2 linked regions of the Alligator mississippiensis genome follow. The protein of the gene in region 2 purifies or fractionates together with the protein of the main gene of each other region. This does not show direct contact. Links are inferred from orthologs where the notes say so. Each region holds a gene or a part of one and is shown on either strand. Other genes may lie near its edges.

What was found. Proteins that work in one complex are often made in the same cells at the same time.
Region 1: the proteins of COP1 (region 2) and SOX2 purify together in Homo sapiens (affinity purification with western blotting; 3 studies listed by BioGRID). This does not show direct contact. The link is inferred for Alligator mississippiensis from reciprocal best matches to the Homo sapiens genes COP1 and SOX2.

Annotation. Positions count from the first base shown.
Region 1 is NC_081830.1:81,639,467-81,646,452, reverse strand, and holds SOX2 (transcription factor SOX-2), read right to left. Parts: upstream 3,018-6,986; 5' UTR 2,524-3,017; coding exon 1,576-2,523; 3' UTR 545-1,575; downstream 1-544. UniProt on the Homo sapiens protein: Transcription factor that forms a trimeric complex with OCT4 on DNA and controls the expression of a number of genes involved in embryonic development such as YES1, FGF4, UTF1 and ZFP206. Binds to the proximal enhancer region of NANOG.
Region 2 is NC_081828.1:49,407,929-49,414,963, forward strand, and holds the start of COP1 (E3 ubiquitin-protein ligase COP1), read right to left. Parts: upstream 3,087-7,035; 5' UTR 2,920-3,086; coding exon 2,570-2,919; intron 1-2,569. UniProt on the Homo sapiens protein: E3 ubiquitin-protein ligase that mediates ubiquitination and subsequent proteasomal degradation of target proteins.

The DNA of each region.
Region 1 (6,986 bases), on a different chromosome or scaffold from region 2:
CCTCCGCCCCGCCAGCACCCTCCGCGCGGCCGGCGGGGATGCTCTGGCCCCGGCCCGGCCCCGCCCGGCCCGGCGCGACGGCACAACGCTCCGCTGCGGCCCGGCCCGCGTGCCCCCAGCCAGCCCGCGAGCCACGCCGCTTACTTGTTGCCTTCGCACTCGCTCCGCTCCTGCCACGCGCGCCCGTTTCACTTGACACCAAGTGCAAGGTCCCAGCTCAGCCCAGCGGCAACAAGTGGTCTCAGCACCAAGTCCACACACCTCCCTTCGCCTCGGCACAAGTCTCCCGGGCTGGCACTTACACCGCGCGCTTCTCAGGCCCGCAAGGAGGACTGCAGTTTCCACCTACTCCGAGCCCTGCTCTTCTCCAGCGCCAGAGCCGAGCTTTTCGCGCGGTACTTACTTACACCGTGTTGTCATGAACTGACCACACTCAGCTGACTACGGTCAGACCTTGAACTGCATTATTATTATTATTTTTTCTTTAAAAAAAAAATCAAAACAGCTCGTATTACAAAAAAGAAATGCAAGACTCAGGCGTAACTTCAGTGTCCATATGTCAAAAATTTATTTATCTCAAACTGTGCATAATGGAGTAAAAACTTAAGTTGAATATGTACCTGTTATAAGGATGGTATTAGTTCAAATATATACATGGACTGTCGGCAGACTGATTTCAAATAATACAGAGCCGAATCTTTAAAATACAACTACGGAAAATGAGAGGAAAAAAAAAAGGAACTTAAAATAGCATCACAATAAATTTACAGAAATATTACAAACCATAAGAAAATATTTCAAACACAGTCATTTCAGCTTGTGTGTGTGGTTTCTCTGTCTCTCTCTCTCTCTCTGAACAGGATGAATTCTGGAAACAAAAAGGCTATTATAAATTAACAAACGGTATGTGAACCTGCAGTGGCAATTTTTGCTTTTTAACAAGTAAAAAAAATTTAGTACAATCTAAACGTTTGCCCTTTTATAGAAAACCAATTCACTGGTTTGCAAGTACTTATCCTACATTTTTTTGCCTTTTGTACAATTTCTAAAACAATTAAAATGTCCAAATTCTGTAAAATAAATCTCCACTCCTTTGGCAGCTGCTATAATTCAGCTGCGCGGCTCCAAGTAAACTCTACTTTGTTTTTAAAAAATAATTGGCAAATTCTCAAGTGTTTCCCCCCCATATTAACAATGGACATTCTGATTGCCATGTTTATTTTGATAAATACTGTACAAAAGTCGCCTGCAAATATTAAAACATTTTTTTTCCTCGTCGCTTTTTGAGTCTAGCTCTAAATATTATTGGTAAAGACTTTTGCAAACTTTCTGCAAAGTTCCTACCGTTTCACTAGAACTTTTAAAAAGTTTTGTGTAGTTTCTTCCCCTTCAGATCTATACAAGGTCCTCGGCGGGGTTAGTTTTTGTTTGTTTGTTTTGTTTTGTTTTTTCTGCCCTCCCCAGTTTTCTCTGTACAAAAATAGTCCAAAAAAAAAAAAAAGTCCAGAATCTCTAATAAAAGTTTTTTGTTTGTTGGTTGGAGTTCAGCTCTCCTTCCCCCCCTGCCCCTTTGTCTTACATATGTGATAGAGGAAGTGTGCCATTAATGGCTGTGCCAGGAACAGGTGCACTCTGGTAGTGTTGGGACATATGAAGTCTGCTTGGGGCAGCTGGTTCTGGTACTTCAGCACCTGGTAGATACATGCTGATCATGTCCCGAAGGTCCCCAGCTTGGCAAGGAGCCCTGGAATGGGAAGAGGAAGTAACTACTGGGGGGCTGGAGCTGGATTCCGTCTTGACCACAGAGCCCATGGAGCCCAGGGCCATGCCCGGGGTCCCTTGCTGGGAGTAAGACATGCTGTAGGTGGGCGATCCGTTCATATAGGTCTGCGAGCTGGTCATGGAGTTGTACTGCAGGGCGCTCACGTCGTAGCGGTGCATGGGCTGCATCTGAGCCGCGTTGTGCGCGTTCAAGCCCGGGTGCTGGGGGTAGCCGAGCTGATCTTGCATCATCCCATACCCTCCGTTGGTCCAGCCGTTCATGTGAGCATAACTGTCCATCCTCTGGTTCACCCCAGCTCCCAAGGTGGCCCCAACCCCGACCCCGGTGGTCATGCTATTGGTGCCCGGCGCCAGCAAGCCCCCTGGCAACGTGTACTTATCCTTCTTCATCAGGGTCTTGGTTTTCCGCCGGGGTCGGTATTTATAATCCGGGTGCTCCTTCATGTGCAGAGCGCGGAGCCGCTTGGCTTCATCGATGAAGGGTCTCTTCTCCGCCTCGGATAAAAGTTTCCACTCGGCCCCGAGCCGCTTGCTGATCTCCGAGTTGTGCATCTTGGGGTTCTCCTGGGCCATTTTCCGCCGCTGGCCCCGGGACCAGACCATGAAGGCGTTCATGGGGCGCTTGACCCGGTCCGGGCTGTTCTTCTGGTTGGGAGCGGCCGAGTTGGAGTTGCCCGTGCCGCCTCCCGAGGCGGGCTGGGGGGCGGGCGGCTTGAGCTCGGTTTCCATCATGTTGTACATTCAAGCGGCTTCTGCCTGGCCCGAGGCTTCCGCGGAGAAGCGAGAAGCAAACGTCCCGAGCTGGACTTTCTCTCCGGCTAGGGAGGGGTGTGCAAGGGGGGGAGGGGGCTCCCCGAAACACCCCGCGCTTGGATCAGGATCAGGGGCTTCCTCTTGCCTGTCGGAGGGATCAGGCCGGTGGCGGTGGCGGCTGCTGCAGCCTGGCTTTGCAAAAAAAAAAAAAAAAAAAACCACAACCAAAAAACCAAAACAAAACAAAAAAAAAACCAAACCAAAAACCCAAACTTCTTCTTTCTCCTTTTTGCCCCTTTTCTCTGCCTCTCTCCAGCGCTTTCCCTCCACCTCGGTCTTAAAGAGCCAGCAAACTCCTTTGCCCCCTTTTGCAAACACGCGCACTCCCTCTCCCTCTCCCTCTCTTTCTCTCTCTCTGCCTTGACAACTCCTGATACTTTTTTGAACAAGTTAATAGACAACCATCCATGTGATGGGGGCTTGTCAGGGAATAAATGCGCTGGGCCCGGCCAATCAGCGCGCGCCGGCTCCTCCACTGAGGACGAGCCTCTACCCCTGGTTTTGCATGAAACGGGGCGGGGGCTGCGGGCGCCGCCGGGCCGGCCCGGGGGGGGGGACGGGGGGCGGGCCCTCGGCCGAGCCAGGCAGCCACTAGCGAGGCTTTGTCGCGCCTCTTCCAGCAACAGGTCACACACGCCTTTTGGAGGAAGTGGGTAAACAGCATTGTTGCTACATTAAAAACACGCGCGCGCGCACACACACACACACACACACAACTTGGTGCGGGGGAAAGCCGCGGGGGAGCGCGAGGCCTCCGCAAAGTTGCGTGTGTTGGGTGCGGGCCTCCCCTGCCTGCCATTGCCTCTCCCCCCACCGCCGGCTCTCGCGGAGGGGCCTGTGCAGGGCAGGTGCAGGGGAGCAGGCCCTCCCCTCCCCCTAGCCCGGCTCCATTCACAGCCTGGAAGCCCCCTGCGCCTCCCAGAAAGAAGGGGCCGAGCTCCCCCGCCATGCCCCGGGCGTCTGCTTGCAGCCCCGGGGGAGGGGGCCGCCCCCCAGCTGCGGCGACCCCCGCCTGGCCCCAGCCCCGCGCCCCGCGTGCTGCTCCCCGGGCCGCGGGCCGCGCGGCAGGGGCAGGACGCGGGAGTGGGAAGCCGCCCTGGGCTCGGGAGGGTAATTTTAGACTCGGCCCCATTGTCCCGACGTAAAGACTTCAATAGGTGGGAGCTCAATGGCGGGGAGAGATGGCAGCACGTCCGTTACAAATAGGTAGTTTTGTTTCTCTTGTTGTCGCTACACGGGGCCAAACAAAGGCCCGGCTAAGTTTACTTCCACTCTCTTGTTGGGATCTTTGTTGCTAAAATGCACTTGACTACAAAGAAAGGGGGGGGGGGAAGCCTCACGCCATTTCTGTTTTATGAAGTGCTCCCACGGGCAGGGGCTCCCTTCGCCCCCCTCTTCCTGGGGCTGAAAACGTGGCGAGCTGTCTGGACGGGCACGCCGCACCGGGGCGCGCTCCGCCCTGCGCCCCGGGCTCGGAGCCTGCCCCGCGGCCTCCCCAGGAAAGTTTGGCGCGACTGAAAACCTCCCGAGACTGACTGTATTTGGTGCTGTGCGCGGACTGTACAATCTGCTGGATTTCAGGTCTGCATCAGATTAAATCCAGTGCCGAAAGAACGATTTAGAAACACACACACACACACACACACACACACACACACACACAAAGGGAGGTGAGAAATAACTTGGAGGCTGCCCTGGACTTTCCGAGCGCGGGGGCTTCAGGGATGGGGCTGGTGCGCCCCCTACTGGCAGACTCGGCTCCCAGGCAAGGCTCGCTCTCACTTTTCAAATGAAATGTTTAAAAATAATAAAAGGAAAGGGGGGGGTGGAAATAATTATATGTAATCTAAGTAATAAAAAAAAAACAAACCCCAACAGCACGGATGCATCTTTTTATGGATTATGTAAATAAATCCTATCAGATTTAATGCGTTTAATTCGAAAATGTACATATAGCCCGTAGATAAGTGATAGGTTAAAGCAGAGGAAAATAGGTACAAATTATGAGATTCAAGCTAGAAACGAATTCTGATTGTCCAGACGCTACTGAGGGCACGCAACTATTTACTTTGGTATTGTTTACGCCTGGGGCTGCACTTGATAACATTATTCCAAAAAACACACACACAAAAAACCTTATGGATAATTAAATTGGGGGAGGGGGGAAGGGGGTGGTGGTGTTTGTTTATCGTAATAAATTGATAACTGATGGTTGGTGTTAGACAAGCAAGTCTTATTTTTGTTCTCTACTGTAGTTACAGAGGCAGAATCAGTTGGGAGTGTGTGTGTGTCTGTGTGTGAGCCTTGGCTGCAGCAAAGGCAAGGCAAGATTTTACACGTAACTAGATGCATATATTTGTGCCTGAACTCTCTAATAACACATTGAAGAGGTTAAAGTGGCTGGCTTGGCTCTTTGTTAATTGCATTTATCATATAAATAAGCGATGGAAATACCTAACAATTGTGTTATCATGAGTATTTACAGCTTTATTTTAATTAACCGTGTTTTACTTATCAATGCAATAAACTGCCTCTGGCATATATACATAATAATGCGCTATAGAAAAATAAGATAAAGGTGATAGCTCTTTCACAATTTGTTCTTCTCCGTTTCCTACGTGCACGTTTCTGGCTCCATAAACCGGGTTCCTGGCTACTCGTTTAAATAATGTAAAAAAACAATGAGAGCCTTCCTCCAGCTTCAGTATTAGTAACAATAACGACAACGGTCTATTGAAGAAGATCGAGATTTTTAAAAGGGAGGCCTAGAGAGGCATGGTTTAATCTGAATGGATTTTAAAAATCGTTGCCTTTGGTATAATTTATGGAAATGAAAAGTGCTCACATTAAACAAATAGTCCGCAAACGCGCTCAGCGCGGGAGTCCGAGGCGGGTTCGCGCTTATTCGGGGGTGATGAGCTTATTAACGAGAAAATGGATGTTAACGACTTGGATTTTTATTTATTTCTTGTGCGGACCCGGGCTGCACCCACCAATTTCTTCTAAAAGCCCTGAAGATGCAGCCTATCGGGGACTATAACATCAGGGATATCTACATAATTTTTTCGCACTGACCTTGCTAGTAACAAATCTAAAGCAAACTATTAAGCAGCCTGGTGGAGATGGAAGATTGCAGCCTCGATTTTTTTTTTTTTTTGTCCTTAGCTGCAAATAGAGGTTTAACTTGCAGTAATTAGGTGAGAACTAGCCAAGCATCTTACTATTATGATGCTTGTTAAAAACGCTTCTTTTCTGCATCTGCATTTGAGTGTGTTCCCCTCCACTCTTAATCTTCTTATGGAAATGAAGGCGAGCGGCGGGGAACCTGCAGAGACTTACAGAATGTCCTTGTTAACTGGAATTTCTCAGCATTGCTAATTAGCAGAGTTTGACGACCACCAGTATTGGGGAAAGCTCTGTTTAGCCACTCACAAACCCTTCCGAGGAAGAGCAGACTAATTTTATTTTGTAATTAAAATCTGAAAAGGGCCCTATTTGACAGTTAGGGCTATGAGAGTTTTATCTCCCTGTGAAATAATTACTGCCTTGATAACTCAATTTTCTGCAAAACGTCAACTGTGAGCTCCAAAAGTTTTAATTTCATTACGTTAAAAAAAAATCTGAAGACGAAAATGTACAGAGAGATTTCCCCCCCCCCCCCCCTTTCTAATTCTGGAACCAGCTAACTGCACAGAGGCTAAAGTTAGCCCAGGGAAGTTTTGCCAGACTCACTGTAACCCACTCCCTGGTGAACCCCTAATGGCACAAGGCGCGTTATTGCAGTACAAGCAGCAAACCCTGGAGGAAAATTGCTCCCCCCGCCCCAATATAGTTCCCGAGGAAGATCTCCCCCAAGAAACACCCCAAGGAAGGTTTTAGGCCAACACTGGTGTTGTTCTGGTAAAAGGCTTTGTTCATTTACAACCATTAATAGGTATGAAGGAAGGGGGGTCATGTCCTGGGGGTATTACACAGATGAGCTGAGCTCTGGCGTTTGGGGGGGGGGGGTTGGTGGTTTTTGGGTTTTTTTTTTTTAAGTACTGCCAGGTCCTAAAAGTCTTTCCAGGCTGATATTTCACGAGTCAAATCAGTAACCAGTCCATTCCTTCTTTTTGGCAGGCAGTTCGCCCCGACCCCCACTAACAAGGCTTTAAAATGTGAGATTCAGCTTTCTGCATTTTTTCAGAGAGGGGGAAACTCCCCCAGCCTTGGGGAGAGATCACCGAGCAATGACAATCAACCCAAATAACGTGCCAGGTTTGGCTGAGACGGGATCTATAATCCCGAGAGAGGCACCAGCCCCCTTCTCCTCGAAGCGTGCTAATCTCTGCACGCTTGTCTCTTGGGTGGGGGGGAGGCAATCTGGGGGGCGAGCCGGGCGCCGGGACCAC
Region 2 (7,035 bases):
TTACAGTAACTTCTAAAGATCTTAATATATTACTACAAGTAACCATATAACCTACAACTCAAAAGCCAGTACCCAAGCAGGACAGTCCTGTAAGAAATCTTATCAAAAAACCTAACACACCACCAGTCATGGCATTCAGTGAAGAACCCGGGCTTCAATTAATATAGCATCAATATCCCACAATCAGTACTACACAAGGCCCCTTCTTTTGCAGCTACATTTTATTGTTAGATCTTAACAAAAGGTCTGGCGCTTCAAGCATCAACCTCTCTTGAAAGTAGCAGCCCCTAAGCTAGCGATCATGAGGCCTTGGCTCAGGAAACAGCTTGTGGTATTAAACAACAAGTTAACTCACTATTTGGGGAAACATTGAAAAGACAGCATCAAACATCTAAACAATTCCAAGTACATGGTCAACTCATCACTGTTCACATTTCCTACTTATCTTTCAGTAGCTGGTTTGACATAAGTGAAATTATCATTTATGGTTAATCATTTCTTCCCAGCACTGGGCAGCAATTCATGCCCATTCTGTTAGATCCATCAGCCGCCTTCAACACCAGTAACTCAACTTCAGAGTCCCAGAGGAAACCCCTTCATGAGTTCACCATCTCTTAGGACCACTCAAAAAGAAGGTTAAGAGGTTTTACTCTTCCTCCATAAAGGTCATCTCATATATGCAGTCCCATTCAATACTTAAAAAGATTTGGAAAGCTAGGCATATAAGTTTGCAACATTAGTGTTAAAAAGATAATACTCAAGATCTCGTTTTGTTAAGTGCAAATGCTATAGTCTCAGAGTTGTCTCTCCACGTTGTCAAAGAGGGAGATACCCGTGAGTGATATGACTTTGACTCAACATAGATAAGATGAAAGCTACTGATGGGTAGGGTGAAGAATATACGGAACAGACAACAGCTGCAAAAGCACTCTCTGGTAGATGTGTAAAACTGAACTTTAACAATGCTGTACAACTTCTAACTGTCAGAAGCCATTAGGAAACAGCTACCCAATCTAATTTCCCCATTTAAAGCTGCTATAAACATTCTTCCCACATGTGGGTCTCACCATAGTGATCCCTGCTATTTTAATTTCAGGTTGGTTTATTGAAGCACGTTATACTTGAGGATACCCCTGAAGGCCACTTTTTAAAGTTTTTGCTACATGGAATACAACCGTTTGTTGCTACTGGGACAAGACACTGAGAATACCTACTTGATGCAAGGCAGTGCTGTGCAGATATGTGACCTAGCACAGATGCAGGGTCTATCAGACTGGGTACAGCGTCATGTAAACAAGGTGACACTACTTCTGGTTCCAGAACTAGCTTGTGTACAGTGCTGCCTCATGTTGTACAGACGCCTTTGCTATTAGCCAGTATAGAACACAGAGTTGGCTGTAAATGCTATCTCCTTGCTTTTAACCAGAAGATTGGACTGGAGCCAATCTAAAAATGCCCCACAACTCTGCTATTTTAGGGCCTATGTATACAATATTAGCCAGTTAAGATGGCTAAAAACACCAGGGACAGCCATTTAAAACTAAACAAATGGCACTAACCACTTGCCAAATCCCATTAGTTTCAATACTAAAGACACTACTTTAACATGCCAACAAATTCAGGTAAGAACAGCTCTTTGAACCTCTTCAAGACCCCTTCCTTACCTTAACCCCTTACGCCTGAAACTGGCAGGACCTAGTCAAGCTCACAACTGCTGAAAGTGCCCAGCTGACAGCCACTGACAAGGGCTGGTAGCATTAACCTAGTGCAGGGGTTGTCAGGGTACTTGAGAAGGCCCTAGAGGGTATGGGCGGGCAGGCAGGGAGGGATGGAGCACCACCACCATGCACCGTCCCTCGCTGCCGCCGCCTGCCCAACTGGATGCAGGGGGTGGGGGAAGCTCACACATGGCGGGTGCTGCTGCTCTGCGTTCGGCTGCACACCCCCAGCTCCGTGTCCAGCTGCCAGGGGTCTGCTGATCCAAAGAGGTTGAAAACTCCTGACCTAGTGGTTCTCAACCTTTTTAGACTCCAGGCACCCATGGGCAGACTCGAGGCCTCCCTTGGAAAACATGACGTCTTCGTTTTCGCTTTTTTTTTTTTTCCTACCACAGAAAAGCAACAGAGCAGGTTTCCTGCTGCAAAGCCCTCAGAAAGAGAACAACTCCTGGCTTTCCATGTGAAACCTCGCGATTCACGCCTGTGTCCCCCACAGGGCACCCTACAAAGGGTCTTGGTTGAGAATCGCCCAACAGATGATTTCCTCGCCGCCGCGCACGCTACATGCTGTCCCATGACGATGGTGAAGTGCAGCTGCCCAGCAGAGAAGAGCAAAGTACTCGGGTTGGCAGCAAAGAAGCAGGCAAGGGCCCAGGCAAGAGTCAGCGGCTCCGGACCATGACCTCAGGACCCCACGGCGACAACTGCCACCCCTGAAAGCCGCGGGGGCCAGGCCTGACACGGGCCGGGCCCCGCGGCGCTGCCTCAAAGCGACTCGGCGACAGAACAAGGGGGCCGAGCCGGTCGGGGCCGCGGCCTCGGTGCCTCCCCCGGAGCCCGGCCGCACTCACCACACGAAATCGTTGCTCTTGTCCTCATAGGAGTTGAGGAGCCCGTTGCAGAGCGGAGTCAGCAGCGGCCTCTTCCTGCTGCCGCCGCCGCCCGAGGAGGAACCGCCGGCGCCGCCGCCAGGCCGGGCCGCCCCAGCCAGCCGCGAGGCCGCCGCCGCCGCGCCGGAGCCCGAGGCCGCCGCCACCAGCACAGGCCGCGCGGGGCCGGCCGTGCCGCCCGACGACGAGCCCGGCGCCGCGGCCGCCGCCGAGGACGAGGAGGAGGCCACCGTGACGGAGCTGGCGGCGCCCGCGGCGGCGCCGCCCGGCCCGCCCGGCGGGTGCGGCGGCTGCTGCCGGCTGCCCGACATGCCGAGGCCGGGCTGCGCAGCGAGCGCGGGCCTCAGCGCATCCTGCGCGCGCGCGGCGGAACAATAAAGTTTGTTCAAAAAAAAAAAACAACCCCCCCCCGCGGGGCAGGGGGAGCGGCCGCCGGGAGCGCCGCGAGCTGCCGCAAGCAAAACTTTATTGGCACACGGAGCACCGCGAACACACAGCCACTACTAGTACTCCTGCTCCCCCTCCCCCCGAGGGACAGACCGAACGTCTTGTTGAATCTTTATTGGCTCCCTGCAAGGCAGAGCGCTCCGTTGCACTGCGCATGCCCGCCTCAACAGCTGTCGGAGTTTCGGCCGCGGTAGCTGGGAGGGGGTTGTACATGCGCGCTGAGCGTGGGAGTTGGGGGGCGTGAAGCGGGCGGGGCGGGGCCGGGCGTCGGATGCAAGCAGCAGCTGTCCCGCAGGGCGCTGGATCCGGTGCTGCTGGTGTACCATCGTTATATTTGTACCGTAATGTCAACCCTTGTGTAATGTACAACCAATAACAGTGCTCAAAACATAGGATCATTTTGGAGGCAGCTATTTGGTGCAGCACATGCAAAACCCAAGTCACCCTCAGGCAGGGGTGACGCATAGGGCGTGCACAGACGTGGCAGTGCACCCCCTGCACGTGGCGGTGCACCCCCTGCAAAAAGGCGCCGCCAACACTGTCAGCAGCGTCTGTGGGCGGTTGCCGCTCGCCACACTGTCGCCGGTTGTCTGCGGGTGGTCCACGACCGCCCCCGGCTGCCGCTGCCGGCGGTGCCTGCAGGTGGTTACCGACTCCTGGTTGGCGCTCGCCAGCCCCCACCCTCGCCCACAGTGCCGGTAGCATCTGCAGGAGCTCCTCGCCACTGCCGGCACAACTGTGCCCCCAGCCGCCAGGGGCACGCGCCGTTCATGCGCTCAGAGAGCCTTAACTGAATGTTGGGTTTGCTGTCAGCACTTTCTTATGCCTGCTTGCCTCCAAATAAAGAAATGCTTCAGTTTTGACAACCCAGATCTCACTTACTCACCAGTGAGTTACAGAAAGCAATATTAAGTAAAGAAGAAGACTGAGTTACATGCTTATTTGCATACTTGTCCAGTGTTTAATAGTTTCTCAGCAAATATAAGAAGACTTCCTCAAGAACTGCACCATCAAACCCTTGCTATACTTAAGATATATCAATGACATCTTCATCATTTGGACTGAAAACCTACAATCTCTGAATGAGTTCCATCAGAAATTCAACAATCACCATCCCTCCATCCGACTTTCTCTACAATACTTCAGCACCAACATCTCCTTTTTAGACAGACCACGTTACACAAGAAACCCACAGACCAACATACATATCTGCACAGAACCAGCAATCACCCTAAACACATCAAAAAAGCTGTGATACACAGCCAAGCCCTCAGATACCACCAAAGTTGCACTGAAGAGAACACCCGGGATCGCCACCTCACCAATCTCAAAAAGGCTTTCACCCAACAAGGACACTCCTCCAGAGAGATAGATCACACATTTGAAAGAGCCACCCAGATACCACATGAAGAACTGCTGCAGTACAGAAGAAAACCCCCCAAAAGTCGCACACCGCTGGTTATGACGTATCACCCATCCCTTGAACCTGTACGGAAAATCCTCAAACAATTGCAACCCATACTAAAAAGAGACCTTATTCTTAAAAAGATCTTCCCAGAGCCACCCATCCTAGCCTTCCAACAAGCACTGAACCTCGCCAACCTCATCACCAGAAGCAAACTTCCTCAAGCCCAGAACACACTAAAAAGATCCAAACTGTGCCATGACAAGAAATGCAAAACCTGCCAACACATCTCCACCACCCCCACTATTACTACACCCCACAACAGAGCCATCAGCATTCCTGGATCTTACAGCTGCACCTCTAGAAATGTAATATATCTCATCTAATGCACCAAATGCCCTGATGGAAAATACATAGGAGAGACCAAACAACAACTGCGTACCAGAATGAATGCACACCAGAAATCTATCAAAGACAGAAATACCCAATTACCTGTGGGGGCACATTTCTCACAAGAACACCACTCTCTCTCCAGTCTCTCAGTCCTGATCCTCAAGGGAAACTTACACAACACTTCCCAGAGATGAGCCTATGAACTCCACTTCATCAACCTCCTGGATACTAAAAATCATGGACTAAATATAGACATCGGATTTATGACACATTATAGCCTGCCTGACATCTGACTCCCCAGGTATCTCTCCACTATTCATTCCCCCTGCTCTCTCTTCCCCCCCCCCCCCCCCGCCCCTCTAGCCTGTCTCTCACCCATTGACTCCTCAATCTACATTTTCACTGACTACCTGTCTTGTATGCATACCAGCCCAGCCTCTGGCTTCTTTACTTTCCATTCCATCCAGGAAGAGCACACACCAACTGCTAAAACTTCCTTAGCCTGATGAAGGGTTTTTGAACCCAAAAGCTTGCTTAATAATTGTTTTCCAACTATTTCAGTTGGTGTAATAAAAGATATCAGATTCACCCAAAGAACCTTGTCAGCAAATATGATAATTTTGAGCTTCCAATGTAATTTCATATTTAGGACTGGCAACAATGGCTGAACCCCCGCTCCCCCCAACCACCCCATGGCCCTCGGACAAGTAGCAGCCCTTGCAGTCCCCCAGGGTCTGGCCCCATCTCCAGGCTGGGTGATCCCCTGAGAGAAGTCACACACACCCTGAGTTTCATTGGGACTGAGCTCCCTGCCCCCACAGCAGCTTGCATTGATTGACTGCCTGGTTCCCTGTATCAGGCCATGCCTTGACTTCCCCACCTGCAAAACATGCAATGGCACTGGCTGCTTCCCTGGGGCATTGTATGTGTTCCCAGTTAGCAAAGCACCTTGCTTTTCAGCTGTGCCAGGTGCCCTATGCTTATTTGCTCACTGTTAGGACAGAGGAAACAGCTACTCCTCTGTAAATCACCCCCTAAATCTAAATCTGCCCTGGCCAATGATTAAGTCCCAAGGGTGTTACCAAAATGCTGTCAGGCTACAATATCAAAATCCAGCCTGAGTGTTCAAAAATGGCTAGTCAGGTCCCTCCAGAGCAAGGATGCTCACTTAAAAATCAGGATTTCTTCCTACTGACACATTCTGGGCCGCCCATTAAGCCTTTGGGTGCTTAGGGTTCATACTTTAAGGTTTTTCCTGCAGCCACCAGGATTCAAAAGAAAGTTGCTATTCATGATGCCACAAGCTGGAATAAAATCAAATATTGTGAGATTCCCCATTAAAGGCAAGGCTTGGCAATACTGAATATATGTTAACAATTTCTGAGCCCTTTATACAAGTTAATATATTTAACAAACAACATGAGAGAGGGAGGAATGAACATTGCTAGCTCTAGGGAGTCATATTCCTGAGTCAGACCAACCAAAATTCATGCAACTGGTTTAAAAGTCCTGGCAAACATTATTTTTGGTCCTTCTTGTGATTTTTGAGCCTTTTGGGGGAAACAGCAAACCCCTAAGCTAGAAGCATTGATTCACTTTTAAATACAAAGTAAAGGGCACCTCTTATCCTGGCTTTAAGAGGGGTCCTCTTACTTTCTCTCAAAATCTTGAAATGGGTACTGTCATTTTTAACCTATTTTTTCCCCCGTATCACTCTGCTGTTTCCCTCTCTGTCCCACCAGCCCCTCTCTCTCTTCTGCTGCCCTGTTCTCCCTGGTATCTTTTCTTCCCCTCAGTTATATTTGATACCATGTCTACATCTGCCTCCCCTCCCCCATTTTCCATCTCTGTCCCTCTAGTCTCCTACATCTTATATTCTCCCTCTCTATGCCCTTACTTCCTTACCCTTTGTAGTCTTCCTCCTGAAGCCCAAATTGCTGTGCATCCTTCCTCAGTCTTCCTCCTGCCCACGCATACCTCTGATGACCCTTATTCACTCACCCACACAAACTCTCTTTGACCAACATCCAAAAAAATTAAGCAAAGTTTTCAGGATGGGCACTCAAAAATCAAGGCACACTAAATCAGTGCACACATCTCAAATTGTGTCAGTAGGTATCTATCTTGTAAAGAGAAACTGAAGAAAGTGGGGGGGGGTTCACTAGTTCTCTACAAATGGAGC